2 linked regions of the Alligator mississippiensis genome follow. The protein of the gene in region 1 interacts with the protein of each later gene in a pairwise test. Links are inferred from orthologs where the notes say so. Each region holds a gene or a part of one and is shown in the gene's direction. Other genes may lie near its edges. The genes, in order: GOLGA1 and PDCL2.

Region 1 (16,266 bases):
ATGATCTGTGTGAATGTGTTTGCTGGGAAAGCGGGAGTTTGTTGCTGGCTGGACAAATGCCTCTGGAGTTGCACAGTGGCTGCAGGAGCTCTTGCACTTGCTGACAGAGAGGCAGCCTGGAGCAGAGAGGAGAGAGCGCTGAGGAGCTTTGAAGTAAATGTTTCATACGTCCAGCCTAATGATTATTGACACCCCAGATTTCAGACAGTCTTCACTTGAGTTAGCAACAGCAGGTAATACAACTCTTCCCAAAACGAAGCTAAAGGCTAGCAGATACCATTGTTTCAATGTTTGGCTTTTATAAAAATATTTAAAAAGTGAAGTGTACTTTCTGAGAATATTGATGCTGCCCAGAAGGTATTCATGCTTTTAAATCCAGGGCAGGGTTGTCTTTGTAGAAAAGAAGCATAATTTATATATCAAAAATTACAAAATAGTTTTTCAAATGGACTGAATTGACAAATCTGGAATAATATTAGCAAATCAAACTGAAGTCATGCTGCTTCTGTATGGGTAAAATCTGGCTGGTATTGGAAAGGCTGCCTTCTAGCTTTTGTTATTGTGCATGGCTCTGCTGTCTGAATTAAGTCCATTAGGGTGTTCCAAGTACCGTATTAATTAAACCGCAGTAGAGCAAGCACAGCGGATCATGACCGTATGAGTTAGCAACATGGAGCGTTCCAAGCCATTAGGGAAAGATTTTGGTCTGTGTTCCTTTCTGATATTGGAACAATGAAAAGGGTGGGGAAGGAATTTAATCAGCCCCATGACTCAGGAGTCCAGTCAGATATTGCAGTTTTTAAATGAAGAGTAGCTGCATTAATTTGATGCCAACCCCAGTGGGCCTTATCACAGGACTGTTGCACAATGTTGTGACCTTCTGTTCAAGAGAGGCTGGACTATAAAGGGTGGAGAGTGTTGCAGGCTGGGATTGGTCTCCTTCTGGCTTGGGGCTCGGGGAGGAGTACAGTGCAGAACAGCCAGGAAGCTTGCGCCACCTTTGCTTGCACTGTCTTGGGCCCTGGCCAGTGCCATCAGTCCTTCATGTCTGAGTACCAAAAGTTCAGGTGAATACTAGGAACAAAAATGTTTCTTCCTATGAGCAGATTGTGAGTGGTGATCGGGCTGCCTCTGCTTGGTCTGCAGTTCTCTTCTCTAGGATTGTGGTTCTCTGGTCACCCACCCGTCTTTAGCTGAGATGAGATTATTTTAATGACTGTGTATATACAAGGCGTTTGTGTGTGTATGTACAGGACGCACGCACCCACTGGTTGGGTGTGCTTGTAAATATGTATGTGGGTGTAAATATTTGTATATAGGGAGATATGAGATAATACGAGTTGTATATACAAAAAATATATATACACACAGACGCCAATCGGGATGCATTCCAGGAGGGTGTTCTAGAAGCATCATTCAGGATGCTGTAGTTAAGGTTGTGGCTGTATTCCCATGGTAATCCTCTATTTTCAGGGGCTCATATTTGGTTCTGTGAAATTGTTTGCGGCTGAAACTAGGTATAGGAGGCCTCATCTAGTCATCAGGGGCTTTTCTTTTATAAATTCAAATATTCCAGTTTTCATTGAGGGGACAGTAACATTGTGAAATGAACCCATATTTCTTGCTGCAGTGATAATCTACCCTCCTCAAAGTGCAGGAGGTCCCAATTGCTACAGCTCAGGATGGTTTAACAGTTAACGCTGTTATTTCTTTCATTATGACTTTCATGGAGCATGCTTTGTCCTGGGACATATGCTAGGGAAACTAGGAGTAGGAAGATCTTCATAGTCACAGGACAATGAAGAGCAGTATCCATGCTGCCCTGTCCCTTATGTTTGTAAGTTAACTGGGGGGAGAATCTCGCTCTTGTCCAGCTCATTTCCTTGTATCTGAGAAAAGCATGCTCTTCTGGACCTTGGGGAATGCCCCATTTGTGTCCTTGTGAACTCATGTGGAATGTCTTGGAAGCTGACTGGAGAAGCCTTGGCAGGACAAACTTGTATCCTGCTCAGCCAGGATGAAAGGTAGAGTTTGCATATGGTGCATTTCTCCGATTCCTAAGCCTATCTCTGTACTGTCAAACAGTGTGATATAGTTGGTCTTATTGCCCCATTTAGCTGGAGTCTGTTATGGGTCTGGCCAGATGGCAGCACCCATACAAAAGTGGTAGAAGAGGCTTGTGAAGAAAACAAGAGAACTTGGAGGTTGGATCAAGATCCAAACATGTTAGTAGCACTGACTGAATCCAGAAAATCAGTAATGTGCTTGTAAAGAAGACCTTGTTCTCTTCCTGACTATTCTGTCATATGATTACTTTGTTCAGAATATTTGCTGTTAATGAAACTTGAAAACAGGGAATTTCAAGACATGAGCTTCACTTCTTTTTTCTCTCTGAGGATTGTATTTGTAAAAAGATAAATACATAAAATAATACCCCATATCTGCTATAGAGAAGATCACAAGGGATCTCTCATTTTTTCCAACAAAATCAGCAGTATTCAAGACCAGAGGATTAGAATTCTTTTTCCACTTTGTACTAAGTCATCATCAACATGTGTATGTACTATATGCATATGTATATGTCTGTAGATACCGTTCTCTGCATACACAGCAGGTTTGTACTTATCAGAAAAGTGTTTCTCCATTGGTTTCATATTCAGCAATCCTCAGTTTAGAAGTGGATAGCAGTGATAGATAGATCTGGAGGGGGAGTGGAGCCCCTATTTTCAGATACAAATGGGTATTCAGTGTCAGGCACCCAGAAATGGGTGTCTTCCTTACAACAGTAGAGGCGACTTGAATTAAAACCAATAGGTAGGTCAAGTTCATGAGGGACGGGGAAATATGCAAACCTGACTAAGTGCCTGCTTGGCAGACTTCTGCCATAGGTCCTGCCTTCCGCTCATGGTAATATAGCAGGCCTGATCAAATAAACCTTTACTGCCATTTGTGGCATCTCTCTTGCCCTGTACTCCTGTACCATTTAAGCTTTAAACCATCTGGCCAAGGTTAACACTTACTGCTCTTCTTTCCCTTGGCATCTCAGATTAACAATGAAAAATAGAGCTGTGGATCTTCCTTTGGTTGTACTTACTAACCACACTCTGGATAAAAAGGGTTTCTTGTGCAGCAGATACTAATGCTCTGTTCCATCAGAATCGGGGACGTGTGACAATTGGACAAGCTAGGCTGGAATGAATGCTGAGCAAGTCTCGAAACTTTGGCCTGATAGACTTTGGAATAATAATCTTCAGTAGATAGCAGCCACTTTCTCAGCTAAGCATGCAAAGAAATTCTTAGAGAGAGAGAGAGTGTACCAGGACCTCTCCAAGTGTCAAAGAAAGTATGAGAGTATGGGGATTTAGGATTCAGAGGAACACACCTATTCATCTTTGGAGCTCTTACAATTATAAACTCTGTTAAAACTGCCTTTGTAAAGATGAGAAGAAAGCCTGTATTTGAATCCTACTCCATAAATGGAGAATCAAAGAGAGTCCGGGTTGCAATTGTGGTGTGATTTTTTTTTCAGATGGTGCAACACATGGTGAACGATTGCCCAATTAGATCATTTAATGGCAGTCTAAAATCAATCCATGCAGCCACCCCTGAAATAGTTGAATGGCTATCAAATTTGGATATTAATCTATGAATGTTGTAATCCTAAAATGTCATCTGAAAGATGAAGAATCCAGAGCTCTTTATTTTGAGGGAGAAAACAGTCCAAATCTACCATCTTTTGAAGTCAGCTCCTTCCTGAAAATAACCTTTCTGAAATAGCTGTTCTCTTTTTAAGGCTTCTCTTACAAACATTCACTAGACTCTAATAATCTTTCTCAGCATCACACCTCACTGCTGGTAGCAATGGTCAGAGCTTTAATGCAGAACAGGCAGGACTAGGCAACATAGTTGTTCTAAATACTGGTTGATCAATAGCTTTTGATACAACAGCTCCTTGAGTTGTTGTGTCAAGGGAAGCTGCACTCGTATGAAAAATACTGGCAATCTGATGGGGAAAGGTGTGTAGATGGCTAAGAGCTGTACCTGGACTGGAGCACTGCCAATCTGTGGATAAGGATGCTTCTATGGCAGATTGGGAAAGAAATACCCCAAGTGGGAATCATGCAAGTAACGAAGATCACCCACATTTCTGAATAACTTTGTAGAGGAACATTAGATCCATCTATGAAGATCTAGTGCAGGGGCTTTGGGTATTGGATGTTTGAATGTGAGAGGGAACTGTGAAAAGTATATCTTTAGATTGACTTTTGCTTGCTTTTAGGATAAGCCGGTTGCCATCACTGTTCAGCTCTTTTCTCCAGAGAAGACCCTGCCTTCCTTTTAGCTATTTCTTTTTCTCCAAGCCACTTCTCTTCCCAGTTGCTGAGAGAACCTGCTGAAGACTTCTGAATTTCTAAATGGTGTTTCAGAAGAGTGAAGGAATAAATCTCTCCTCTCCTTCTTGACTTATTCTTATTGCGAACTCAGTTGCCCAGATGCGTAAGTGCTTTTACTCAGATATTCCTGCTTCACTTCGTGCTTTGAGACTTGAGCAGCTGACTTCCTATGCTACTCTTTGTTCAAGTAAGGCACTGAAACAGTTTTCAGATCTAATTAGGTTGTTCCCCTGCACATATTCCTGCAGGGCTAATGAAACCTTCCGTACAAGATGAAACTGCAGAAAGGCTGTTTTGAATTTCCTGTTCAGACCATGTTACCTGCTCCCCTAATATTTCCTTACAAAAAGAAGGGACCCTATCTGCTTTGCAGATTTCTTCCAGCCTCTTTCATTACCACTTCTCAGTGAACATGGTGAAATTCTTTTTTCTCCCCCCCCCCTCCCCTCTCCAGGAGCAGGGCACTGCCTATTACACACAAAAGCACAAATGTGCCTCTACCTTCTCCTGCCCCTCCCCTAGGCTCCCCAAGTAATAAGCGGAAGAGATGGGGCTGGAAGAAGGCAAAATCTAAGAAACCCAGAAAGAGGATCTGTGCCTCTGGCAGCCCATCCTTGGAGGAAAGGGGAGCTTTCTGCCTCTGTTTGGAAATCTGATTATTTATCACCAAAAATAATTTTATATTGAATTGGTTTAAAGTTATTTTACAGCCATGTGCCTGTATATCATATTTTGGTAAAAACAGATATTTTACTTAAGATATAGAGAGATATATAGATGAACTTTTTGAAGCAAATGGACTTTTCTTCAAGGCATCTGTAAATCACCAAAACTGTGTAATTGCCAGAAAATATTCTGCAATTTTGGTGTCCTTGGGAGGAAAGGAGTATGTTTTTTGTGTTACCACTGAACATTTCAGGAATAAAAAAGAGCTAAGATTAAAGTGAGAATTTAATAATGTTAGTTTCCACCATGATTCTTATTAGTAATTAGAATTAAGTAGTATGCAGGCCTGCTTACTGCATCCATGATCGGTTTTAAGCCTTCATCTGTGCCATTTTGCAAGCAGATTTCTAGTATGCTTTTGCTTCTGTCAGCTGGCCGTTAACGAACCACTAGCTCTCCAGATTTTTCTCTTGTTTTTGCTGTATAAAAACCTTAGGAGTTATCTCTTTTATGGCTGTTCTCAATTCTTAGTTGTCCAGTTGTAAGGTATGTTGTATAATGAAGGTGCAAGGCATACTTAAGCTTCTGTAAACGAAAATGGCATGCAACCAGAATGCCTACGCCACCCAACGTAAATGGCTTGATCCACTAGTTTACATGGTATATAAGACAAGCTTTTAATCAGGCGGCAGCAGCAGCAACTTTAGGTCAGGAAGGGCTATAAGTATGTAGATCTCTGATGTATTTGGGCTCCTTAGCACATCCTAGCTGGACGGAGTCCTTTAATTCTAGTGAGTAACCATTTACTCACCATTTCTTACAATCCTAATGAAACCTGAAATCAGCCAAGTGTGGAACAAGCATGTCTGCACCTGGTCTCTGACCCTTCCCCACAGAGACTAATAACTATGTAAATCTTTTTCTAGCCTTGTATTGTTGTTAGAAAGTAACATTCTTGTTTTTAATGTGTTATTTGGAGGTCATAAATAAATAACTTGCCTTTTTAGTGGTATGAAAGGACTTTTAATAAACTGTGGCAAATGCTTGTATGTAACTGAAATGTTGTTGAACTGTGATGCCATTTGTAGGGAAATATACAGCTGTATTTCTAATAGGAGCCCTCTCCTGAAGAGATGGAAGCACAAGTTTTACATGTACCTATCCTGTTCCAAGTGCTGCTAGTCTATAGTGCATGTGATGATGCTGTTTGGTAACAAACCTCTGTGATGGTTCAACAAAGCCACTGTTTACCTTTGTTACATAACCATGTCTTGTCGCCAGTTTGTCTGTTATGACTTGAGTTTTTAAAACAAAAAAATAAATAAATATAGATATATATATACTGAAGAGAAACCTATCTTGATCTGACCGGTGTGGTATGCGGCCTTTCTACCGCTGAGGAAATCTCAGGCCACCTTTGGTTTTACCGTACGTCAAAAAGGACATCTTTCTGCAAAGACCTACCAAGAAATGTGTCACCATAAAAACCGGTTCGCACAGTTGATGTGGAAATCTTATGTCTGTCTCGTGCAATACTGTATAAGCTGTTGTCTGTCTTTTAATGCATCTAAATTACTTAAGCCATAACCTCAACCATGGATGTTTTTCTCATTTGTTTCACTCCATCTAATCTCTCTTCTCAGCTTTGAGTCTAATACTAATACTTCATGTTGTAGTTAGTGCAACACTGTGTGAAACCATGTTGGGTTCGATGGAAGGTAACCCAGCAAGATAATGGTGGGTATTCAATGCCTAATGGCCATCAAATGCATTGTGGTTCTTTATACGCCATCCTTTTGCTTGCTGCTGCTGGGAAGACTTTACTCCACTAAACAGTTTCCAAGTTAACACTGTGATTCTGCACAGAGCTGACATAGCATCAAGGGAACGAACTATTGTAACAATGTTTATGTTGCTTCGAATGACAAAAATATGAAAATGTTTGTTTTTGCTGTTGGAGTGCTGATGACATTTCACATTGATAAATGTTCTTCCAGAATGTGGCTACACTCATCAGTTGTGAACTATTGTACATGATTTTTGTATCTGAAATCCACTCATAAATTATGTGTATTACCAATATAAAATAAACATATTTGCTTAATTGTTTGCTACTGCTTATTGACACATTGGTGCTGTGCTACTCCAGGTGCTGGGTGATGATGTTCTTTCTAGTACTTTTGATAACGGAAGGGAAGTTAATCTTGATCGACAGCTCGTACATAGTCCAGCTTTTAGAGTACCAGTTGCTTCCTTTATAGTTTGTATTAATGTTGTTTGTGTGTCAGACTTGCTATTGGTGATTGTTTCCTTTTCTACCTTGCGGACATGGGGTTTCAAAAGGGTTGTCTGATGATATAAGCAGAGCTGGTAGTAGCTGTCTAGTGAAGATTACGTAATAGGACTTTCTTTATGGGTGTTCATATTTTTCCAGACTTACCCATTCAAGATGAAATTTCCATCAGGAATGACTCTTTCCATGAGGTGACTTTAAAAGTTATGCTAAAACAGTTGAGCTGATTGAGAGGAAAGCGAGGTAAAATACATTTTGTTAGGTTTTTTTATTTTTCGTTTCTGTGAGGAACAGGAACTTCCCCATCCTTTGAATCAGAAACTTGACATTTAGCAAAGAGATGCATTTTTGCCGTGTCTTCTCGGGTGGGTCTGACCGCATTGAGCACGCACAAGCTGCAGACACTGAACAGGATTTTCTTGGCAGTCATTTTTTTTCTGGCCAAGCACCAGAACTTGAAAGCAGGGATGTTGCTGTGCTTGGAGTATTTTTCTCAACCCAAGAGTAAAACAGCAGTCCGACTTGACTGCAGACAGGAAGGAAGATTTGAGCGAGGCAGAGGCCTGTGTGCTCAGGGAAAGGCAGACCCGAAGGCAGCCGAGGAATGTTTCCCTCGCAAGCACCAGGGGCGATGGCCTCCGGGCGCCTTGGCCCTCCAGCGGCCGGGCCCGTCTGCCTTGAGGCTAAGCTGCTGCTCCCAGTTAAGCAGCAAAGGCGAGGACGGAGCTTGTGCAGCGTGTCCTGGTTTGGTGTTTTGGACTCTCTCAGCAGTCCTTTTCATACGTTGGATTTGCCAAGATGTAATAGCCAAGTGAGGAAGTAAATCCCTCCCTCTTGCTAATACAGTGCCCTTGTTTGGGGTCCTGGCGGCGTCTTTCCAAACCATCTTTGCTGCCTTCCCTGCCCCTGACCCCACGGACCCGGGCACGCGCGGTTGCTGCCTTCCCAGGAGAGCGGCCCACGCGCTGGCCTGGCCTTTAACCCGGGATAGCGCAGGCCGCTGCCTTCTCCCGGGAGAAGCAGGACGCGCCTACCCCAGCCCACGTGGGGCTGCCCGGCCACGCCCCCTCCCTGGCGCAGCCGTCCGCGCATGCGCCGCGCGCCCCTCCCTCGCTGGGGGCGCCGCTTCCGGCGGCCACGTTGTGCTTCCGGGTCGGGCTCGTTCCAGCTGACGGCGTCACATCCGGCTCCGGAAGCGGCGGGCCGGGTCGCCGGCGGGCCCCACGGTGAGGGCGGTGGCCGTTGCCAAGGGGACGAGGAGTCGAGGAGGGGGGGAGCGGGGCCCTCAGACCATCCCCCGGGCAAGGGCCTGCCTGCCTCCCGGTGCCTGAGGCGGCTGCGAGGGGGCCAGGCCTGGGTCTGACCCGGGTTGCGTCCCCATTTGCAGGCTGCAGCAGCGCTAAGGGAAGCCGTGTGGAAAGTCAATAACATGCCTTTCTGATGAGGAGCCGGCGCGCCTCGCCCGCCACCGCCCGCACGTATCCGGCACAGGCGACTGGGCTGAGCCTCCGCTTACGAACAGGGACTCGCGGTTTGGCCCCGTTGAGTAGGTAACGTGGCGTTTCGGGGGCAGCACAATAAGAGCGTGATGGAGGTGACAAAACGCCCTTTGGGCTGTATGGGTGTGAGTCTGTTGGGTTTGGCGCTGACATTTGATCTCTCTTTAATCTGCAGGCATGTCGCGGTGGTGAACTCTTCGGGATTAGACCTGCGTTTGCGAACGGGACGTAAAACTAAATCTTGACTTCTGGAAACTTTTCACCGAGCAGCCGCACCGCGTTAACGGTTTCATTCGGAGTAGCCGCATCGCAAAACAGCGCTTCCTCGGGTGCTCGAGGACTTCAGCTTCAATAAAATGTTTGCAAAACTGAAGAAGAAGATAGCGGAGGAGGCGGCTATTGCTCCTCGGCCAGGGGGGGCGGCCAGGATTCCTCGATCCGTCAGCAAAGAGTCCATCACGTCGGTGGGAGCAGATTCAGGAGATGATTTTGTAAGTCACATACGTTGCTCCAGAAGAATTTTATTTCTTAATGTAATGTTCCTAGCACAACATTTGTGGTTTTAGTCTTGCATGGCTTGAATACCTATCTGGATACATCTGTAACATCAAGTCTGAACGTTTCTTTGGAGATTAGCGAAAGGGTGTATGAAACGTAATCAATTTTTACATATTAAGTATATAAATGACACAGTTACCTCCAGGACAGGGCATTGCCCAATTAAGATAGAAGGTACTAACAATATTGCAGCAGAACAGAAGATAACTATGTCGTTGTAACGACGAGGCTTTTGAGAAAGCAAGTCGACTCTGAAGTTTGTAGTGACCAGGTTCTCTGTTTACCTCTTCGATTTCACGGGAAATAGCGTTTGAACAAGTGCATAGAATGAGCACGTGTTACCGGTTTTGAAATCACAATATAAATATATAAGGTACTTCCAGGTGTGTTTAGGTTAAAAGAACTTGATAACGCTCCGGCTGAAACGGTCAGGTCTCCTGAAGGTTATCCAGTCGCCCACCGCCTGGGTTAGGTTACAGGGCAGCATCACCTGAGCCAGCAGGCTTTGTGCGCTGTGTTGCTGCAGACAGCGGGTTCCTCTTTGCTTTCGTTCCCCAGATGAAGGGGATATTTTTTGTTGAGAAATGGTGTAAAAGCTTTCCAAGTCTCAAACATGTGGCCAAGCTAAGTAGGAAACTGATTTCTGACAGTTGCTTTCACATAAGAATTGAGAATAGTGGGTGTTTACTGTGCATGAGTGTTTCGGATTTTTTTCCCCTGTACTCGGGTAAACTACAAAAAAAAATAGATCTAACTTGCATGTAGTAAATGATGTGAAGTTAGCGCCCAGGGTATCTACGAATTGTAGGTACAAAGAACAGAAAAGGTGGTGTAGCAGGAGATAACTTATAAACATATGACCAGCCGCTTCTCAGGAATGCCGTGCTCTGGCAGCGTAAACTTCTTTTCTTTTGACTTCCTAAGGAGCAAAAATAGGGCTGCAGTGGAGTAAAACTGGTGCCATGAACCCTTTTTTGCCAGAAAGTTCAGACAAGGCTAATCCTGTCTTGAGACATGTGGACTCAGTGGGCATGTCTACACATTTGTTAGCGCGCCAAAGTTTAATGCGCCATAATTGGCACCACTGCACATTACTGCCTGTGCGTGGTTTTTTTGGTGAAACTTATATGCCATAGACTAATTCTGCTGCGTGTTAGTGCATTAGCACAGGTTTTGCCTGTCATGCTAATGCGCAGAATTTGTCTACTGTGCTCAATACCTCTCATGTAGATGCGCCCAGTGACTCTTTGAGATCCCTTCCAGCCCTGTCTTTTATGCTTCTAAGTGACTGTTGCTAATTATGGTTTTTAGATAAAAAGTGTTAGGTTTCCCTTTTCCTACTGCTTTTCTTTCTAAACTGACTCCTCCTTTCTAGGATCTGTGGTGTGTAGTTTGACTTTCTGGTTTCCAGTCATTTTGCTGTGCCGTGCCTCTTATTTTCTAACTGACACTTGCTGAAAGTCAGAATAATCTCTAACATAATTAGAGCTGACTATTTAAACACTATTTTTCTCTTAAGTGTTGTATGCATTCATTTAGTTGGCAGAACTAAATGCGTGTAATGTTATGTAAATTTATCTTCCTTTTCACTAGAAATTTGAAACTGTTTATTTTTAGTCCTAATAATGTTTACTGTCATTAAAATTTGAGAGTGGTAGGATTATTCTTCCTGAAGCTCGTAAACTACATATACTACATATATATTTTCTGTCTCTAATCTGGAAAGGCCTCTGATGGAAGCAGCTCTAGAGAAGATCTCTCATCCCAGTTGTTTAGACGAAATGAACAGATACGGAAACTAGAGGCTAAACTATCTGGTATGTGTTCAGATGATACCTTATTAACTTTGTTTGGGAAAATACTGTTCCTTGCAATTAAGAGTTTTCACTTAGCTGGAAAGCAAACCCCCTTTTCATAACTTTGTTGAATTGATTTATACCTTTCTGTTGATCAGCGTCCTTGCATTGTAAAATACAATCTGTACAGAACCAATACAGACTGACTTCTTGTCTTCTTGCTGCTCTTGGCCCACGTATGTGATCTTCCTGAATGGATGGGATAGCTTTCTCACCCCACGCGCAACCAAGACAGCTCCTCCCATACACTTCTTATTTGCTATCTGTATTGCAGTAACAGCCAGGGGTTCCAGCTGGAACCAAGACTTCAAAGTGCGGTGTTCTAACACTGTCTCTGCTCTGGGAAGCTACCACTAAAATAAAGAGTGTAGCATAAAGCAATCTTAAAGCAGGCAAGGATGAGCCTTTAAGACCACCCTGTCCCAAGGGCCTTTCTGGCAAGCGCGGAGCTTGAGGAAGTGCTCTTTTCTCACCCTTCTCCCAGCCCCTTGCATAGTGAGTGAATCAGAGCAGGGCTGGAATTCACTACACTGTTGCTGTCCTCTGCTTCCCATGGCTCACGGAGGGGCTTTGGGAAACAAAACACGGTTTAAAGCAGCTTCAGGTGTGTACTCCCACCCTTACTTGTGGAGTACACGAGGGTGCAGCGATGGCTTACGTTACAATCAGAACTGGAATGTGTACCCTTGGATTAAGACAGAAAGCGTAAGTAAGGGTTCAGGTACCACAAAGACAGAGATGGTGGAAATGGCCAAGGTGCTTTCAGCCTTACACCAAGATCAGTAAATGGATCCATCACCTTATTTCTAAATAAGAGTAGTCCAAGGTGTGCTCTTCCTTTGATCTGGTTTGTTCATCAATTTTGCTCAACAAAGGGAAAAAATACTTGCTACTTATTCTACATTATTAAAGATTTGCGTTTTAAAAGTATGAATATGGTGCTGTAAGCCGTGCCAGGTAAACTAGTCACTGGTCAAAATGCTACCTCCAAACTATTACACAGCTATGGTGGGAGACTCTGTGGATTAAGGGAACTCTTCTTGAATTTCCCCCATGCTCCTTCATTCTGTCTTGTAGAAGAGATTCTTCCCAGGCAGGAGTCGAACCAAATTGCTTTTCTCAACTTCCCCTTTCCTTGTACCATACCCAGTGCCCCTTTCCTGTTATTAGCACAACTAGGCCCTTCTGTTTGTACAACCCATTTCCCCCATGGATAGTGTGTGGTAGCATTATTTGCTTGTGGTGTTTATTGTTAAGGTCAGCCTAATTTTCCTTAACAGGAATGATTTTCTAGTTGGGAAAATCATTGTCACTTTCCACTCATCCTTTTTTTATTATTTATTTATTTTATTTTACTTCCTTCCCTAATGTCTGTCCATTCCTTGTCTGTGCTTTTCCTTCCTCGCCCAAGATTATGCTGATCAGGTCCGAAACTTGCAGAAGATAAAAGAGAAGCTTGAAATTGCATTAGAAAAACATCAGGATTGTATGTATTCTTATTTTCTCTTCCATTTTTTTCTTTAAATTTAAAACTGTTCTGTATTGAAGGCTATACAGTTGGAAATGGATCTCATTACAAATGGAGCACATATCAGTTACAGGAAAAAAAAAAAAAGAAAAAAACATAAGACTGTCTTAATGCATGCTGGATGAAGAAGCCATAATTGTATTTGATGTTTAATAATAAACTTGTGCCTGGCAAATAATTGCTTTAAAAAAAACTCAAACCTGTAGACTTGCTGTAGTTCATTGGAAACATTGCTACTGCATTTTGTTTCTGTATGCTCAGTACAGTGGGGATCCAGTATAACGTAAAGAAGGCTCAATTCCATTCCTAAAGAGTTGTTACCACTGGAGCCTAAGCAATTTAACAATGAGTCTCTAAATTCTGTTGTGACATAGTTAGTTCAGAAGCAAATAAACAGTGTTAGCTTTGCATGCTGTGACTGACTTCTCATCTAGTGGTTTTCTGTTGACAGCCTCCATGAAGAAATTTCAGGAGCAGAATGAGGCTTACCAGGCCAACAGAGCTAAGATGGCTGAAGGAATGGCTTTGGCATTGGAAAAAAAGGACCAGGTAATAAAAGCCGGTCTGGAATGATGAAGTAGTTGACCAATAGTGAGAAGCTTAAGAGTGAAGCAATATCATTGTGGCCAACAGGGAGCAGAGGTGGCAGTGTGATATGAAAAAATCACTGCTGAAAGACAGCACTTGTTACCCATGACACGGGTGGGTCTAGGCTAGAGAATGTCTTGCCTTATTCTTCATGTAAATGGAGCGAGGAGGTGTGATGTGGTGTAAGTGTCCAAAATAGTGTTGACAGGGGATAAGTCTTTGTTCTGCAACGCCTTGTTCTCGCTGCTTTAAAGAAGCCAACGGACATCTCTAACAAACTTAACCTCGCATTTTGCTGTTTTGATAAAAACTCCATTTTAATATATTAATTTACTGTGCAGGAATTTTGTTTGCACAGAGCAGATATGCAGTCATGTCAATTATTTCATAACATTTTACTAGTATATTATATCGTCCTTGATTATTTTTACCTACAATTTTTATTTTATATTTTATCATAATGTAATACTTTCAGTGACTCTGATACTTTTTGTTGTCATTGTTACTACATTTCGTGGATTTTGATGCACCCTTTTTCCCCCCACCAACCTACAGGAATGGACGGAAAAGTTGGTTCAAGTTGAACAAGTAAGTCACCTTTGATATCACTGTAATAAGTGGGTCTGTGTGTTTCCTTGTACTCTGCAAAAAAGATCTGAAAAAATGTAATTGCTATGAGTATCTGATATTTGTTCCCTGGCTGAGACCTGAGATTCACTTTCATTCCCAAGCCCATCATTTCAGAAGCTAACCCTAGAATTTGTTTTGGAGTGGGGAGTAACAAAGCGTAGGTCTCAGACACTGACCAAGACTTGAAAGCCTGGGCATGCCAGCCCTGTGAATTTAAATACTGCATCAGACTGTTCCTATTTAATCAGCTGAGTATTAAGAGAGTGCTTAGATTCTGCTTTCAGGAACAAAGAAGTTAATCCTTACAACACCCTAGGACATGGGTTGGCAGCCTACAGCCCACAAGATGGATCCAGCTTGTGGAGCCATTAGATCTGGCCCATGGACATGGGGCTTTGGCAGCACTCAGTGTGGAGGGAGGGGGACCTTTGGTGGAGCACTCTCCCTACACTTCCATAGGGATGGGGGCTGGCAGTAGCCAGGTCCTAGTACTCACCTGCCTCTGACCCATAGTGGCTCATTCTATCCTGCAGCTGGTAAAAGTTGCCTACCCTTGCCCCAGGAGGTAGGGCAGTAGTATGTCTGTTTTACAGTTGGGTCAGCTGGGACATAGGGCAAGTGGATTTCATAAAGGCCTCCAACAAGTTGCTTTTAGAGTTAGAATGAAGACTGGCCTGATCAGACATTGGAAATTAGGTGGTGTGTCACACTGCCTGTGTAGAGGTAATTTAATCTACCACTGCGATAATGGCAGAATGTTCCTGAGCTGAGGAAGAAGGGTCTTTCCCTCTGACAGTGAGTAATACTACACTTTAAAAACAGCATCCTATATTTTCACACTGTAAGCTTGTGTGAGACCAAGAAGACATCTCATATTTGTCTGTGAGCACCAGACATGCCATTGGCACTATCTAAACAAAACCTTCTTTAGTACAGACTCCACAGTGGCACATAGAAGTTTCCCATTTCTTAATGTGCTTCTAGGGTTGGCCGTTATGCTTTGCTTTCTGATGTTGATGTCCAGTTCCTGCTATGGATGTTTTATGCATTTGCTACTACATCTGCTGGATTGGTTGCAAGGAGTGAGCTTTATACCACTCATAATACTCTTTCCATGTAGTATTGATTTGATGGGACTTAGTAACGAGGTATTCTGTCTTAATGGCCAGTAGAGCTGTTAAGCACCATAATAACCTTCAGTTCACCTTAGGAAATTTACATTTAGCTGGGGGAAGGAAATTGCTGGTTTTGGCTGAGAGAAATGGAAATACTTGTCTAGGGCACAAGCCCCATGGGGATTTGACATGGAGTATTTCACTAAAAGAGAATATCTTTATTCTAACATAGAGAACAATATTGCTTAAAGGAACTGTAACTATTGGTGCAACTACAGCGGCCATAGAATTGTATCCTCCAGTGAATAAGCATATGCTGATATAATCTATTTTCAGCTTTGTAATGGAAATCGGTCCCCTTTTATTTCACGTACTTTTTTTTAAGGAATTCAGTCTCATTATAGTTGTTTCAGCTGTTCCATTCAATCTCTGCTCAAGGCATTTTAGAGTATAGAGGCATGAAACATATTTAGAATTGCAGTTAGTGCTGATTGCCTATCATTTTGACATGCTTGAGTGATTAGTATAAGACCTTTCTATATTTGTGTCATATTTACAGTGCGGATCTAAGAGCTCCCAGATTTCAGTAATGATGCTGTGCTGCTTGTTAAGACATGTTGTTATATAGAAAAAAGTTTGAGTTATTTATATACCAACATCATAGCGCGTAGTGATAATAGAGAATGTAAACAAGGTTCCTTTCCTAAAGGGCTTAGTGTAACATCCTGTTGACCTGAAACTTTTATAAAAATATTTTTCAACCACTTTTTTTTTTTGTTTTGTTTTTGGTGATTGTTTAATAGGAGAAAAAACTGCTTGCAGCTCAGTTACAAGAAATGAGGGAGCAGAGTTTGAACCTTTTCCAAAAGAGAGATGAAATTGATGAACTGGAGGGCTTTCAGCAGCAAGAAATAGCCAAAGTTAAACACATGGTAAGATTAGTTTAAAAGGGAACTTCTGTTTTATGCTACAATATTTTACTATAATTTGTTAAAGAGTGATATCTGATATGCTCATTGATATCTGAAATGTTGGAATTCTTGCTGTATGTGGATGCATACAGCATTATGTAAACCCTTCATGTTGACTATTTTAATTATTTTTCTGTTTCTAATTTCATTTATGATGGAAGGAGACCA
Region 2 (16,435 bases), on another chromosome or scaffold:
TCCCAGACACTGCTCCCTGCTTACATGCCTATGGCCCTATCCCATCTCCCTGGCTGCGAGCCCTGCCCACAGGGGTCCTAGCTGGTCTCCATGGAGACCCTGGGATCACAGGGCAGTGAAAGTGCAGGGCCTAAGTCCAGAGCCGAGCAGTGATTCGCTCCCTACATGCCTCTGCCTGTGGAACTGGTACCCATTGCAGGGGCGTGCAGGGAGCAGACCGTGGCTCTGCCCTAGGCTCTGATCCCACCCTGTCATGGCCCCATGATCCCAGCCCTACCTCCTGGGCCCGTTCCCAGACTGTGCCTCCTGCTTGCCCATGGCCCTGTCCCAGCTGCCCAGCAGAACATGGAGCAGAGCCCCTTAGGGAGTTTTGGTAAACTATATGGCTGGGGGTGGAAGCGGGTAACCTGGCCTGCGACAGCTCACCAAAACTCCCTAACTGGCCCTCGGGCCCAAATAATTGTCCATCCCTGTCCTAGACCCTTTCAATTAATTGTGGATTTTCTACTCAAGTCCTAGGACCTGAGTGTTTTCTAATACATGAGCTCAAAGGTTGGGTGTGCTCCCTGATGTATAAAAGTTGAGCTATTCAGGGTTTTAAAGGGTCAAAGCCAACAACACCTTGAGAGGCATGTTTAGTCCTTGTAGAAGAGATGCCTTCATCTTCTTCCCCTTGATGATGTATGCAGGACTTGGCACAATGCAGCCTGTAATACTTATCAGTAGTAATTTTGCTGCATAGTTGATTTTCAGAAATGGACAAACATTGTCCAATACTTTAACAAAGATATCTTAATTTTAACTGAGCAGTTATCTGGTAAAATATATGGGACAAATCAAGGAATCTAAAATGCAGTAGGTATTGGATTATCTGGGGCATTACTTAAACACCAGTCTGTTTTATAGTGTTAATTTCTTATCAGATATTGTTATTTTCTAGCCACGCAATGGAAGGAGATCAGCAGGTTTCCGCTAAAAAGGTATATATTTCATATTTTTAATGAAGACCTATATTCAAATCCTGTTCCTTTTTATAGTGAAACCAAGATACGTATTTGAAAAAAGTATCCATTAATTTGGGATGCTGAGATTTTTGAATAGCCAACTTGAGATATCTATAACCTGTTTTGGGATCAGGGTCAGAGCTGTTGGTACGTGCCCATCAACTTGAAGGCAATGGGTGCTGCAGATGCTGAGCACCTGTAAGAATTACTGTATTTTCACGCATATACCCTGCTGGGCATATGCGATTTTACAAAAAAAACAGATGGGTGCGGGCTATACGGGGGTGCGGGCTATGAACAGACTTTTTTTCAAAAGGGGGCCGCTGCGGGGGCTGGGGCAGGCTGGGTTGCGCCGCCACTGCCACGGGGGCTGGGGCCAGGGCAGGCTGCGCCACCTCCCTGCTGGGCCTGGGCTGCACTGCTGCTGCTGCCATGGGGGCCAGGCTGGGGCCGGGGCGGGCTGCGCCGCCTCCCCGCTGGGCCCAGGCTGCACCACTGCTGCCGCGGGGGCCAGGGCAGGCCAGGCTACGCCGCCTTCCTGTGTATACGCCGCCATGGGGAATACATGGGTGCGGTGTATACACGGACTAATTTACAAAAATAAAATTTTCCGTGGGTTATATGTGGATGCGGCTTATATCTGTGGATGGGCTATATGCGTGAAAATACGGTAAGCCAAAGGCATTTCAAGCAGTTAAAAAGTTGGCACATAAAAATTTCTAGTTTATCACTAGTAATAAATACATTTCTAGCGTGTGAACCAGGAAGTGTATAGCTTAATGTTGGATCGGAAGGTCAATTTGGTAAAGATGTTAGAAAAAATTGTGATCTTTACAAGTTTGATCCAGAAATCATTAAAAGACTTCTGTACACAGGTAGAATTCACACTGAAATTAAGGATTTGAGGACTGAACCACAAATGATCCAGCTCATGAGAAAAAATCTTGGGAAAGTACATACTACATTTTCTTTGCCCCTGTTGTGAAATGATGTTTTTTTAGTGTTTTTTTTAAAGCTGTTACATTATAGACATTTAGCATGGCATAACAGAAGTATATCAACAACTAACGTTTTGCATTTTTTTTCTTTCAGAATTTTTGATTCCTGACCTAGAATCACTGCTGTGGGAACACAGAGTATATGGACAAAATGGATTTCCCCACAAAAATTACTCTTTACTATTTGTACAATTCTCAAAAATCACTAGAATGTAAATGTTCCAAAATGTAGATTTGGTTAAGATTGCAAATGCTTCTTTAATTTCTTGACTGCATTAAAAGCATCTTAAAATTAATGATTTGTTTCTAGTGTTGTTTTGTTTTATATATTTTATATATATATATATATATATATATATATATATATATATATATATATATATGCACTAAGTAGAGAGTTGATTTTAATGAAGAATTCTCTATTTTACATAATACATTTGAATGTTTAGATTATTTAGTACTGATAGAAAATACAACTTAAATTATTTTGTAATATAATATGCTATACCTAATCTATTAGTTTCTGTGCAGATTTATACCAACAATATAGGCTTATATTTGTACATTTTATTCTTTATATATGTTGATACTTTGAGTAATTCCATTTTAACTGAAGGTCTTATACCTTTTAATATCTGTCAAAGAGGAAAATCAGTCCCTGCAAACACTCACATGTACAAGCTATATAAAAGCTATTCTTCTAAGACAGGAGTGTTCAGCCTCCACCCCAAGGGTCAAATGTGGTCTGCAGAGCCATCACATCTGTCCCACAGGGCTCCCCATGGGCTGGGAAATTTGGCAACAGGAGAGCAGTGGCCACCCTCCCTCACTGCCAAATTGCAACTCTCCCTCCCCCAGCACAGCCAGGTCAGGGCTGGGCTGTGCCCCTTTTCTCCACTGCTTTTCCCCATTTGGCTGAGTTGTGGCCCCTCACCCCCACAGGGCTGGATCTGGTTGGCTGCCTCCTCACCCTCTTCTTGCAGCTGGCTCAGGGCCACTGTCCACATCTGACTAGGGTGGCCATTCATCCGGTTTCATAGAGGACAGTCTGGTTTTCTGGTCATAGATTCATAGATGTTAGGGTCGGAAGGGACCTCAATAGATCATCGAGTCCGACCCCCTGCATAAGCAGGAAGGAGTGCTGGGTCTAGATGACCCCAGCTAGATGCTCATCTAACCTCCTCTTGAAGACCCCCAGGGTAGGGGAGAGCACCACCTCCCTTGGGAGCCCGTTCCAGACCCTGGCCACTCGAACTGTGAAGAAGTTCCTCCTAATGTCCAATCTAAATCTGCTCTCTGCTAGCTTGTGGCCATTATTTCTCGTAACCCCCGGGGGCGCCTTGGTGAATAAATCCTCACCAATTCCCTTCTGTGCCCCCGTGATGAACTTATAGGCAGCCACAAGGTCGCCTCTCAACCTTCTCTTGCGGAGGCTGAAAAGATCCAGTTTCTCTAGTCTCTCCTCATAGGGCTTGGTCTGCAGGCCCTTAACCATACGAGTGGCCCTTCTCTGGACCCTCTCCAGGTTATCCGCATCCCTCTTGAATTGCGGCGCCCAGAATTGCATGCAGTACTCCAACTGCGGTCTGACCAGCTCCCGATAGAGGGGAAGTATCACCTCCTTGGACCTATTCGTCATGCATCCGCTGATGCACGATAAAGTGCCATTGGCTTTTTTGATGGCTTCGTCACACTGCCGACTCATGTTCATCTTGGAGTCCGCTAGGACTCCAAGATCCCTTTCCACTTCCGTGCCACCCAGCAGGTCATTCCCTAGGCTGTAGGTGTGCTGGACATTCTTCCTCCCTAGGTGCAGCACTTTGCATTTCTCCTTGTTGAACTGCATTCTGTTGTTTTCTGCCCACTTGTCCAACCTGTCCAGATTTGCTTGCAGCTGTTCCCTGCCCTCCGGCGTGTCCACATCTCCCCATAGCTTTGTGTCATCTGCAAACTTGGACAGAGTACATTTCACTCCCTCGTCCAAGTCACTGATGAAGACATTAAAGAGTATCGGTCCAAGGACTGAGCCCTGCGGGACCCCACTGCCCACATCCTTCCAGGTCGAAACCGATCCATCCACCACGACTCTCTGGGTGCAACCCTCTAGCCAATTCGCCACCCACCGGACTGTGTAGTCATCCAAGTCACAGCCTCTTAACTTGTTCACCAGTATGGGGTGGGATACCGTATCGAAGGCCTTCCTGAAGTCTAAGTATACGACATCCACCCCTCCTCCTGTGTCCAGGCGTTTCGTAACCTGGTCATAAAAAGAAACTAGATTGGTCAGGCACGATCTGCCTGCCACGAACCCGTGCTGATTTCCCCTCAGCATAATTTGCCCTGCCGGGCTCTCACAAATGTGAGCCTTGATAATTTTTTCAAAGACTTTGCCAAGGATGGAGGTGAGACTGACAGGTCTATAGTTGCCCGGGTCCTCCTTCCTCCCCTTTTTGAAAATGGGGACCACGTTGGCCCTTTTCCAGTCCTCTGGGACTTGGCCCGTGCGCCACAAGCTTTCAAATATTCCCGCCAGTGGCTCTGCAATGATGTCGGCCAGTGCCTTCAGCACCCTTGGATGGAGCTCATCCGGGCCCGCCGACTTAAAGGCATCCAGTTCTTCCAAATGACTCTGCACCATTTCAGGGTCTACGCATGGAAGTCTGGCGCCTTGCTGCTGCCTCTCTACAACCCCAGTGAGAGACTTGTCGTGCCCCTCTCTTAGGAACACCGAGGCAAAGAACTCATTGAGGAGTTCAGCCTTGTCCCCCCTGTCCGTCACCAATTGTTTCTGCCCATTTAGCAGGGGTCCTATTCCTCCCTGGGCCTTCCTTTTACTCCCTATATATCTAAAAAAATATTTCTTGTTGTCTTTTACTTGGGTTGCCATCCTCAGCTCCATGGTAGCTTTGGCCTGTCTAACTGCCTCCCTACAAGCACAAGCAGAGGAGGTATATTCATCTTTGGTGATCTCTCCCTGTTTCCACTTTTTATGTGCTCCCCTTTTGTCCCTGAGGCTGCCCTGGATTTCTGTGGTCAGCCAGGGAAGCCTCCTGGCCCCTTTCCCTTTTTTGCCTCGCTCGGGGATTGTCTTGCTTTGTGCCCGAAGGATCGTTTTCTTAAGGCACAGCCACCCTTCTTGGGCTTCCATGTCTTCAAATCTCCTACTCTGCAGTGCGTCCTTGACTAATCGCCTGAGTTCATTGAAATCAGCTTTCCTAAAGTCTAGCACTTTCACCCTACTAGTTACCTTACCCACTCGACGTCTTATGGTGAATTCTATTATTAGGTGATCACTGTCCCCCAGATGGCTACCCATCTGGAGGTCCCCTACCATGTCATCTCCCGTTGCCAATACCAGATCCAGTATGGCATTCCTCGTAGTGGGACCGTGTACCTCCTGAGTCAGGTGGAGGTCCTGTACACAGGTTAGAAACCTTCGTGAGCGGTGGGACTTTGCTGTCTGTGACTCTCAGCAGATGTCCGGGTAGTTTAGGTCCCCCATGACTACCGCCTCTTTAGCTTTTATGGTCTCCGAGAGTTGCCTCAGGAGCCCCGAATCTCTTTCTTCCCCTTGATGTGGGGATCTGTAGCAGACCCCTACCACCAAATCCCTTTCTCCTTGCCCCCCATGTAGCCTAACCCACAATCCTTCTACTTCCTCATCCTTGGATTCCGTCTTGATAAGGGTTGATGTATATTGCTCACTGACATAGAGCGCAACTCCTCCCCCTTTCTTCCCCACCCTGTCCTTTCTGTACAATCTATAGCCCTCAATATGTACCGCCCAGTCATGGGATGAATCCCACCAGGTTTCCGTTAGCCCCACTAAGTCATAGGTGTTTAATGCAAGCAGGAGCGCTAGTTCATCCTGCTTGTTCCCCATGCTCCTAGCATTAGTATATAGGCACTTGAGCCCTGCGACTGGTGCCTTTGCTGCCCCCCCGCTCCGAGTCCCAACGGGCCCTTTGATTCTTACCTTCTCGTTTCTTACCTGTGCCGTAGTGCTGGTCTCCCCATGGCTTTCAGGTTCCTAATGCTCTCTTTCTTCAGGCTGGGCTGTCCTTGTGGGTGTCACATGGTTTGGTGGTCCACAGCTTTCCCTGCCCTCATCTTCCCCTCCCCCCAACGAGCCTAGTTTAAAGCCCGCCGGAGGGGATCTGCCAACCTAGAAGAAAACACACGCTTACCTTTGGGGGACAGGTGAAGCCCATCCCAGCTGAGCATGTCCCTCGTCGTGATGTGCAGGTCGTTGTCCAATGTGCGGGTCGTCTGTCCTCTATTGATATGAAACTGGATATCCTCTATTTTTCACGACTTGGCACACCCTTCCCTCCCTCTCTCCGCAACCGACACTGCTTGGCCTGCCCTCGCCTCCGCCATCATTGCAGATGCCTGTGGGAGCTCGCTGCTTGCTGTCACCACAACCCCACTGCCACCACCGCCGCCACTGCCTGTGGGAACTTGCCATGCTCCCACCCCCAGCTTTGGGAGGCATGCGACATTCATGGTGGTGGGGACAGTATTTTTGAAGTACCTCGATGGCCACCCTACATCTAACCCGTGGACGGACTGGGCACTGCCTATATGGCCTACCAAGGAAAAATGGTTGAGTATCACTGGCCTAAGACTTCTTTGCCTCTCACATAATTCCTGGGCCATCACGGCTACCATATCACTCTTAGGTCCCTGCCACCCATTCAAATTAGCTGGATAGAAACCACATATAAAGCTGTTACATATTTGCCAAGCACTGTCTTGGTAGCTGTTTGGCTCTTTTTATAGCTGGATGGACATTTTTATGGAGTGACTGTTACTTTTGTACCAATTAATTGTGTCATGAACTCAAGGTGTGGCGGGGGTGAGCCTCACACTACCAGGGGCGTTATTCAAATGCTCAAATAAATCTGCTAGGCCCACGTCTCCCTGCAAGGGCTGGTTCCCAGCCCCATTTTGCTGAGGACACGACACAACAGCTGTGCTGGCAGCTCTCACCGGGTCATTGCAGCCAGCAGTAGGCAGTGGGTCGCCAACAGCAACCTGCCCTGCCGAGCCCCTCTCAGCACCTTTCCCCCGCCCCATCTTTCTCTGGCACCAGGTTACACCAATGTTGAACACATTCTTACGTTAACATTTTCCACATTGAGACAGCTCTCAGTGTCTACCTACAAAGATTTTGAACAGAAAAAAATATATTGAAATATTTTGCTTCTGCACTGAACAAGAGGACTCGTTTTTTTGGTTTGTTCTTTTAAGTGAAACCATATGAAGGAAGGAAACTAAAAGAATTCAAGGAAGCTGAAGATGGGTTTGAGGAAGGGGATATAAAAGCTGTTGAACAGTTTCGGTGTAGGACGTTACTGGAGCAGCCCCGTGACGGAGGGGCGCAGCCCTTGCCAGCGCCCTGCCCTAGGTGTTGGGGCGGAGATGGCTGCGCCCCCGTGTGCTGCCGCCAGGGGAGCCCTCTTGGGGGCAAACCATTCCTTGACGCAGGGGGGTCCTATGGAGAGAACGACGCTGCCACCGCCTTTATTAACAAATGGATCCGCCCGGCGACCGGGCCAGCGGCCGTTAGGATCCCGTGCAGGGGCGGCCCAACGGTTGCTGCGAGCAGGAGCGGCGCCATGCAGGCGAGCGGGGCCGGGGCCGGGGCGCCGCTGGGCCTGGGGCTGGGGTGCGGGGAGGGCGGAGAGGAGTCCGGGTGGGCAAGTGCCGAGGTCCAGCTGGAGATTCCCGGGTGCATGCCCGTGACTACGGGCGCGTGCGAGCGGCCAGCCCTCCGCATACGCGTGTAGGCACGCAGACGTGCGCGGCTGAATGACGTGCACGGGGCAGGTCCGTCATACCTGCCCCACGTGTGCCCGGGATCTTGGGTTCGTGCCCTGGCTGCAGCCTCTGCTCGTGCTGCATCTGCTTCCCGGCCTGCCCTCACACGGGGGCCCCAGGGCAGGTTCATCTGGTGGCGCTCGCCCGTGCCCAGGCGCTGTGTGGGTCTCAGCGTCCAGTTAAGAGCCACTCTGTTACATCGTGCCATGTTGTGTCCTGGATGGTATTGTATACCAGAGTGGAAAAATAAAGAAACCATTCTTGTTTGGAAACAATATAGAAATGTCTGTTTTTTTGCTTTGTTTCATGATTTCCAAACAGGATCCCAACGAAGATACAGAATGGAATGATATATTAAGAGATTTTGGGATTCTGCCTCTAAAAGTTGAGCCGAAAGATGAAACCGAAGAAATGGTTTTGCGCTTACAGAAAGAAGCAGAAGGCAAGTACTGTTTGACCCTTAACACCATTCATAAAGTAATAAAGATCTGACACATCTCGTGTCAGAAATTCATTTTTAAAAAGGAGTATTTTGGTTATTTTATTTGGTCTTGTGTTATTTTTCAGTGAGCTATTTTTAAAGTAGCGAATTAAAAAAGAATATTGCATTGAAGAAAGTGAGAGAATAATAGCACCATAAATTTTGCAGTAGAGTCAGTAACATGCACCATGGTATATAACAGGGGTTTTCAACCTTTTTTGGTTGGTGTACCCCCTGCAGCCGGTCAAGAAGTAGGAAGTCCAATCAGTGAGCGGCGGGTGGTCTCCTGTGCACAGCAGCAAAACTGGAAGTGCCCTCTGCTTCTCCGCGCCACTGCCACGTACCCCCTGGGAGCTTCCCAAGTACCTCCAGAGGTGTGCCTACCCCTGGTTGACAACCCCTGGTATATAACATGAAAAATCAACCATTTAGCTTTGCATGGTCTGTTTGAGGCTTTGGTGCCTAATGAAGTAAATTTACCATGTAGCCATTGCCTGCGACAAATGGAGCACATGAAAATGACCAAAGTAGTACTTTTTATATTTACTGATTGCATCTATATGTATACTTTACTGCAGAGTTGACTAGTTCTACATTAAGGTATCACCATCTACACAAGCATCCTTATGAGGTGCAGTAAATTAATTAATTCCGTTATAGGATAGTACTGTCCAGGACAAGTATTATCCTACGGCAGAGTTACCTAGTACGCCGTAACGCGTGTGTAGACAGTGACCAGGGCTGTCTGGGGCAGGAGGGTGCTACAGTGTGGGGGCTGCCTGGTGGCTAGCCCCACACTGAAGCACCTTTGTGCCCAGCCAGCTCCCCTGCAGCATGTTGTGCCAGGGTGGAGGAGCTCCAGACTGGCAGGCTGACACCCTGGGTCCCCTGTCAGCCAGGGCTGCTTCACCCCAGCTTAGCAAGCTGCGGTCTTGGGCACACATGTAAATATTGTGCCCCAGACCAATAAACTCCAGCGTGACCTGTGCTGGAGTTTATTCCTACGTTCTAATTACACATGTAGGTGCACCCACTCATACTTAACTTGCCATCTTTTTCTTGCACCAGGTTACACTGATGTCGAACAACAAATTCTTAGATGAGATGTAATATTTTTCACATTGAGATGGCTCTCAGTGTCTTCATATAAAGATTTTGCACAGAAAAAATACTGAAATACTGTTTCTGCAGTGAACAAAAGCACTAATTTTTTTTATTTTTTTTTTTTAAGTGAAACCATATGAAAGCATGACTCTAAATGAATTAAAGGAAGCTGAAGATGAGTTTGATGAAGAGGATATGAAAGCTGTTGAAAAGTATAGGTATACTAAGACATTACTTGCCATATTAATATAAATTGTTTTGTAAGTGTACATCCATCTGATTCCCACTGTAGGTGAGCATGCATCTTGGGCTTGTGAACTTGGAATTTTTTAATATCTGTGTAGGGTCTACCTATATGTCCTGTACCTTCTCAGGTTCCTGCTTGAAGACATTAAAGGGTGGAGCAGCCATAATCCTCCCTAAATTCCATTTCATTGCCTGTAGCAGTGACATAGAACTTGAACAGTGTCCAATTCACTATGACACTATGACCCAAACTCTTTCCATGTATTTAGTTATTCTGGGGGTTGGATGATTCCCTCCCCCTCTGACCGTTAACAAATGGGGACATAATATGTGTATATTCTGATTTGGACATAAAAATATGCATTTATCACTCCTCTTCTTCCTGGACCTGGAATCTGAAAGACATCAGATTCAAACTAGGCCTCTTGGGCTAATGAATAAAAGGAACATCAGGTGCAAGAAAGGAATGACTGCCCTATGTAAAGTTGTACATTTAAGATGGAACAATCACATACAGCACCACAGATGGGAATGACTAGCCAGACTGCATTACTGCAAAAGGGGATGTGGGAGTTATAAACTGCAAAATAATCCAGTAGCATTCAGGGGGTTTGTTAACAAGAGTGTCATCTGCAAATCAAGTGGAGTGATTCTTCTACTTTGTTCAGTACTTGTGAAACCTCACCTGGAGTACTGTGTCCAGTTTTTGGCACAATTCAAGGAAGATTTGTCCAAATCTGAGTCCAGAGGAGAGCAACAAAATGATTTCAGATTTGAAAACATGATTTATAACAGGACTTCACAACTTCTTTGTGGCTAGGGCCTGCAGGCACACGACATGCAATTCCCCCTACCTGCCCTGCTCTTTTGCACTACCCTGGTGCCTCAGGTCCCTTGAGTCCTCCTTCAGGTATGTGGGCCATGCTGTGCTTCCCCCAGAGATGGGGGCAGGCAGCGAAAGGTGGAAGAGGGAGGGGAAGGCTGGAAACTCCAGCAGGAGAGTAATGGAAAGGGCACAACCCAGGCCAGAGACATGGGCCACCAGTTGGATAATCTTTCTTTGTAAGAAAGGTTAGAAGAATTGGGATTATTTATTCTAGGGAAGAAAAGACAGAGGAGGGAAATCAGTGGCAACATGTAGGGGGTGCATGGGGGTGCACGTGCATCCACTGAGAGTGCCGGTGCACCCCCTGACTGGCTGCGCTCACCACTTAAGCGATGGACAGGTAGGCAGGCAGGAGCGCTGGTGCTCCCCCTGCAAGTGCTGGCAGATCGCTGCAGCCATTCCCAGAAGTGGCCACAGCCATTCCTGGTCAGTGGGACTGGTCATTGGGGGGGGGGGGGCACATGACCCCCCTGACTAAGGCAGCATCAGTCGCCCATGGGGGAAAAGCATTGGAATAGATTACCTGGAGAGATGCTGTCTTCATTCTTACATGTTTTAAAGTACAGGTTAGGCAAACACTTGTCTGAAATAATTTAGGAATGATCCAACAGGGTGTTGAACTAGAAGACATCTGGAGGTCCCTTTTAGTCCTGTTTTTTTCTTATTGTAGCACAGGGAGTTCTGCATCTAAATTTTGACACATTATGGTATATAAACATGTACATACAGAATACTGTGCATTGAATGTTTAATTTTTTATATTTTTTTTTAAGAAAACCAGCTTAAAATAAAGGTTTGGGTTATTTCAGTACTTTTTCATAGAACTTAATTTCACCATATATTTTCATAGATGAAGACTGCCACCTACTGATTTTTCATTCAAATTTTCAGTAGTTGTTACTAAATAGTAAAACATCAACATCTGGCTTTCTTTATTAAAAAAGAAGTTTGTTTTTAAAATCAGAAACACAATTTGGGCTTTTTATTTAATTTGAAAGTTGTATTAAAAAGAGTTTATTTTTGAATTAGGCAACAGCGCTTACAAGAATGGAAATCTCTTCAGAAAAGACAAAAATATGGGGAGCTGAGAGAAATTTCTGGAGACCAGTACATTAAAGAAGTTACAAATGCTCCAAAGAATGTGTGGGTTATAATTCATCTATATAGATCAAGGTAATGACTAGGATTATATTTTTAAAAAACTTTTATTCATTTAAGACTCTAAGACACTTCAATTTAGAGTACTGAAAGTAGCATGAAGAAGAAGAAAAAATGACACATGCAGAAAAGACTGGTGGAAAGGTGCTGGTTTCCTATATCCCAATTTAGGAATAATCTTGGAAAATATTTCCCTATTAGTACAGTAAACAGGTTGTATTCACTTTCTGCTTATGTGGAACTAATGCAAACGATCTCTCTGGCCACTTGCCTTTTTCATATATAAATTGAATCCATGCTAGACTTGATAGAATTTCACATGTTCATATTGAGAAGTAGGTCTCCCCTTTCCATGCTATAGAGCAGTAGCTCCTTTGCAATGCTCCTTGAGAGCTCATTTTTCAGGATTTTGCCTCCCTCTTGTCTCACTGCAAAAGGAGAAGGATCTTTTATGAATATTAAGAAGGGTCTGGGATTTCCCTAATTTAAGTATTCCAGAACTGGGGTGGGTAATTTATTTCAGCTAGAGGGCCACTTAATGAGTTTTGGGGACCTGTCAAGGGCCACATTCATCTTTCTTCTCTCTCTCTTTCTCTCTCTTCTCCCTTTCTCTTTTGTCTGTCTCTCCTCTGCTCTCCCTCTGTCTGTCTCTGTCTCCTCTTTTGTCTTTCTCTCTGTCTTTGTCTCTCTCTGTATCCCCTCTCTTATCTCTCTCTCTCTCTCCCCCTCCTCTTTCCCCTTATTCCAGAACCTGCTGGATCTGTAGTTTGCTGCAGCAGGCGAGCACCAACATCACCACTGCTGGTAGGTTCAGGAGCCCAAACACAGAACCTGCTAGTGGCGTCTATAGGTGACATCACTGCCATCCTGGCATGGTAGAAGCTCTTGCCCAGAGCCCCAAACTGGAACCTGCCAGCAGCATCAGCTGTGGACTCAGGCAGGAGCTGCTGCTGCACCAGATGGGCTGTGGTGTCAGCTGTGGGCAGAGCCAGCAGGTTCCGGAGCCCCGACACAGCTGATGCTGCTGCCTGCCTGGCACAGCAGAAGCTCCTGCCTGGGTGCTCAGGTTCTAGGTTGGAGCTCTGGGCAGGAGCTTCCAGTGTACCGGAAGGGTGGTGACATCAGCTGTGTATGGTGCTGGCAGGTTCCACATCGGGCTTCTGAACCTACCCGCAGTGTCTACAGCTGCTGCTGCTGCATGCCGGCTGTGGCAAAAGCCTTGCCTGGGTCCACAGCTCATGCTGGGTAGAACAGTCTTGCCTGCAGCTGGAGGCACCAGCCACCCGTGGGACAGATACAATTAGTTGGTGGCCATCCACCCATTGGCCAAATCCAGCTTGCAGGCTGTATTTTGTCCACCCCTGTTCTAGAAGATTTCCAGTGATAGAAGCAGTTGCAGGATGGTTCAGTGGTAAGATCAAAGAACTCTCATGTTTAACTCCATATGTTAGCAACTCTTTCCCCTTATTTAAACAGTGCTGAGGAAGAATTTGAAATTTAACCCTCTTTTTTGAGACAGGACATTTTTAAGGACATTGGAACAGTTTCTCCAGTTCTCTCAGTTGCCAGGAAGCAACTTGTCTTTCCAGGAGCAGATAGAACCAGATATCTGTTAACCAGATAGAAATACAACTTTCAGGTGTAAGACTTTTCATACTACCATAAAAATACCTGGAAGGATTTTTGAGAAATGTTTAGGTTCCTTGGGGTCTGTGCTCTTGTCTTACATGCTTCCTTTTAGGTGACAGAAGTATTTCTTACACAAATTAGTAACACTACTTTCCCACCCTTCATGTCAGAACCTACAAAAAGGAGGTCCCTTTGTAAGGGGCTGTATCTCTAAGGTGGCACTCTCTGGTGGCCACCCCAAGCCTGTTCCGCACTCTTGTCACCAGCAGGGTACTGCCCTGTCTTTTCCTGCCATCTCTTGATGTTTGTTAATTAATATAAATTTGGGAGGCATCCCTTAGAGTCCCAGAATGACACTTTGGGTGCTCTGTTCCACCCTGCTCATCAGAGGCCAGACAGAGGGGTCCCAATCTTTCACTGGTTCTGATTCCTAGTAGGGTGTCTGGTCTGTGGACCCTCTGCCAGCCTACCTGAGTCTGTGGGGCCTTATGCCCCCCCCTCTTCCAGTCAGTGTCTGCATTGCCCACGCTCTCCAGCCACCCCAGACAGGCACTCCCAGGACTTCAGGAGCCTGATTCTGCATGCCTAGGAATATCCCTGCAGGGGAATTCCCAGGGTAGGCAGGATTAGGCCCCTGGACCCCTGGGAGCACCTGCCTGATGTTCCTCTGCTTGCACAAGTGTGCATCAGGAAATCTCTGGCAGGGGATTTCTTGGGCATCCATATTCTGCCATGTCCTGACTTGGGATGTATTCCTATGTTCTTCTGTTGTAGAGGTATGTCCTGGGAATACCCTGGCAGGGGATCCCCCATGTATGCATAGTGCACTGCTGTGCCCCAACTCAGGTTCCCCCATTTGCAGGTCTCACAGGATCGGAATTCTGAAGCCCTGGAAGCGGCAGAAGCTAGATCTTGCAGAGCAACAGGTAACATCTGAGTCATCCAGTAAGACATATCGGTTCTGCTGCAACGTATTCCAGAAGAGCTGAGCATGCTCCAAGGATAACATCTGTTTAGATCTTTAGTCTGAAAGTCAGCATGTAGAAATCCTAAATAATGTGGGTTCACAGGTTGAAGTCCATCAGAGCAGTCTTCTGTCCCATCAAAGCCACCGTGCATCTACTTCAGAACAGGTTAAAGAGGATATCTGGTTTACTATTTGAGATAAGTCAAAACCAGGTGTCATAAAGAGGGGATGTCTCATTCTTCTCAGGAATTTGGCTATGTGCATTTGACTAACAGCACATACCAAAGTCATCTTCAGAGCATCTAAGCCTGGGCAATATTAGTTTATGTTCCCACAGACATCAGCTGGATACATTTCTGTACAGGCAGTCCTTGGACTTAAGATGCAGTTTTCAGGAACCAGCTGTGTTGTAAGTCGAAATGTTGTAACTTGGAACCAATCTTTTCATAAGAAACAATGTTATAAATGGGGGATTGGTTCCTGAACCAAGGCCAGATACCTTATTTTCACCAAAAATACCCCAGAATTTTGTACTCGATCAATTATAGATGAGTAATATAGCTACATTAATGTATTCCTATTGTAAATAGCAATCATATTGATTTGAAAGGTCTTATTCGAGGTGACTTTGCTGGACTTTGAAGCGTTCTTGGCTGGAGTCTTCTCGGGAGTCTTGGCTGCAGGTTTTTCTGGAGTGTTGTCTGCTTTCTTAAAGAAAGTGTCCTAGGAAGTTTGGACAGATGTTCTCCAGGGAGATGAGAGATGCAGCGAATGTGTTTGCTGGCATGGCATCTCATCGGATCAAGCTTTGTGCGAAAACTTTCCTGAAATAGAGCCGGGGGACTGAAGAAGGCTGAAACTTGAGAAAACATAGGAAATTTAGTTTACTGACTCTCTCACACTGAAAAACTAAAGCTAGAAGCTTGAAAGAGGCTATGAGTAGAAGATCAAAAGAATTTTCCTGATGCTTTTAGGCAGAAATGGGTTCATAGGCAGGAGAAGAGAAGAAATCCTTGCCTACTGATTTCTCTAACCTAGAGAACTCTAGCCAGAAAGAGCAGCAGAGGACTAGAGAGAACCATTGGGGTGTTTGTTTGCTAATCATCCAAAGAGTTTCTGCACATCTAGATAACTCCTCCCTGAAATAGTGGGAAAAGCCCAAAAATGTGTTCAAAGTGTTTTTTGCATATCCCCTCATGTTCAAAATTATAGTAACAGAGGATTTGCTATTTGGAAGGGTATACTTACAGAATACCTGCAAGCACAAGACTTCTGTCTGCTGCAGGAAACATGGATGTGTGAAACTCAGAGCAATAGTCAAATCTTGGAAGACGTTTCTACTTCATCCTCAAGGCCTTTTAGTTCAAATAATGACTGACAAAATAACCATAGTGTTATATATTAAACAAACGTGTTATATATTAAACAAGTGGGAGTGAGGGGTGGGGAAGTGAAGTCTTCATTGTTATGTTAAGATGTAGTTGGGATGTGGAACTGGTGCATTCAACAATGAAACCTGCAACATACCTATAGCCTGGGGAGCACCCTTCTCAACAACACAGTGGCTGAAAGGGATCTTGGAGTTACTGTTGACTCCAGGATGGACATGAGCCGGCAATGCGAGGAAGTGGTCAGTAAGGCTAAATGCACCTTGTCGTGCATCTATAGATGCATCACAAGCAGGTCCAGGGAGGTGATCCTTCCCCTCTATGCAGTGCTGGTCAGGCCGCAGTTGGAGTACTGCATCCAGTTCTGGGCACCCCACTTCAAGAGGGATGTGGCTAACCTTGAGAGGGTCCAGAGGAGGGCCACTCGCATGGTCGGGGGCAGCAGGCCAGGCCCTACAAAGATAAACTAAAGGGCCTGAATCTATTCAGCCTTCACAAGAGAAGACTGAGAAGTGATCTGGTGGCCATCTATAAACTCACCAGGGGGGACCAGTGGAAAATAGGTGAAGCTCTGTTCCCCTGGGCACCACCTGGGATAACAAGGAATAACAGCCACAAATTGATTGAGAGCAGGTTCAAGCTTGATATCAAGAGGCATTACTTTACAGTTAGGGCTGCCAGGCTCTGGAATGGACTCCCAAGGGAGGTGGTGCTCTCCCCTACCTTGGGGGTCTTCAAGAGGAGGTTGGAT

Evidence for each region.
Region 2: the proteins of GOLGA1 (region 1) and PDCL2 interact in a two-hybrid assay, tested with the Homo sapiens proteins (2 studies listed by BioGRID). The two-hybrid records come from large-scale screens. The link is inferred for Alligator mississippiensis from reciprocal best matches to the Homo sapiens genes GOLGA1 and PDCL2.

What each region holds. Positions count from the first base shown.
Region 1 is NC_081835.1:66,396,690-66,412,955, forward strand, and holds the start of GOLGA1 (golgin subfamily A member 1), read left to right. Parts: upstream 1-8,505; 5' UTR 8,506-8,579; intron 8,580-8,652; exon of another isoform or gene 8,653-8,740; 5' UTR 8,741-8,903; intron 8,904-9,027; 5' UTR 9,028-9,208; coding exon 9,209-9,343; intron 9,344-11,136; coding exon 11,137-11,227; intron 11,228-12,677; coding exon 12,678-12,752; intron 12,753-13,245; coding exon 13,246-13,343; intron 13,344-13,937; coding exon 13,938-13,970; intron 13,971-15,930; coding exon 15,931-16,059; intron 16,060-16,266. UniProt on the Homo sapiens protein: Involved in vesicular trafficking at the Golgi apparatus level. Involved in endosome-to-Golgi trafficking. Mechanistically, captures transport vesicles arriving from endosomes via the protein TBC1D23.
Region 2 is NC_081825.1:60,557,104-60,573,538, reverse strand, and holds the start of PDCL2 (phosducin-like protein 2), read left to right. Parts: upstream 1-7,499; 5' UTR 7,500-7,623; coding exon 7,624-7,629; intron 7,630-8,146; coding exon 8,147-8,267; intron 8,268-9,537; coding exon 9,538-9,628; intron 9,629-11,571; coding exon 11,572-11,715; intron 11,716-16,435. Other genes in the region: NMU (neuromedin-U), read left to right, coding at 941-976. UniProt on the Homo sapiens protein: Essential for male fertility, spermiogenesis and acrosome formation.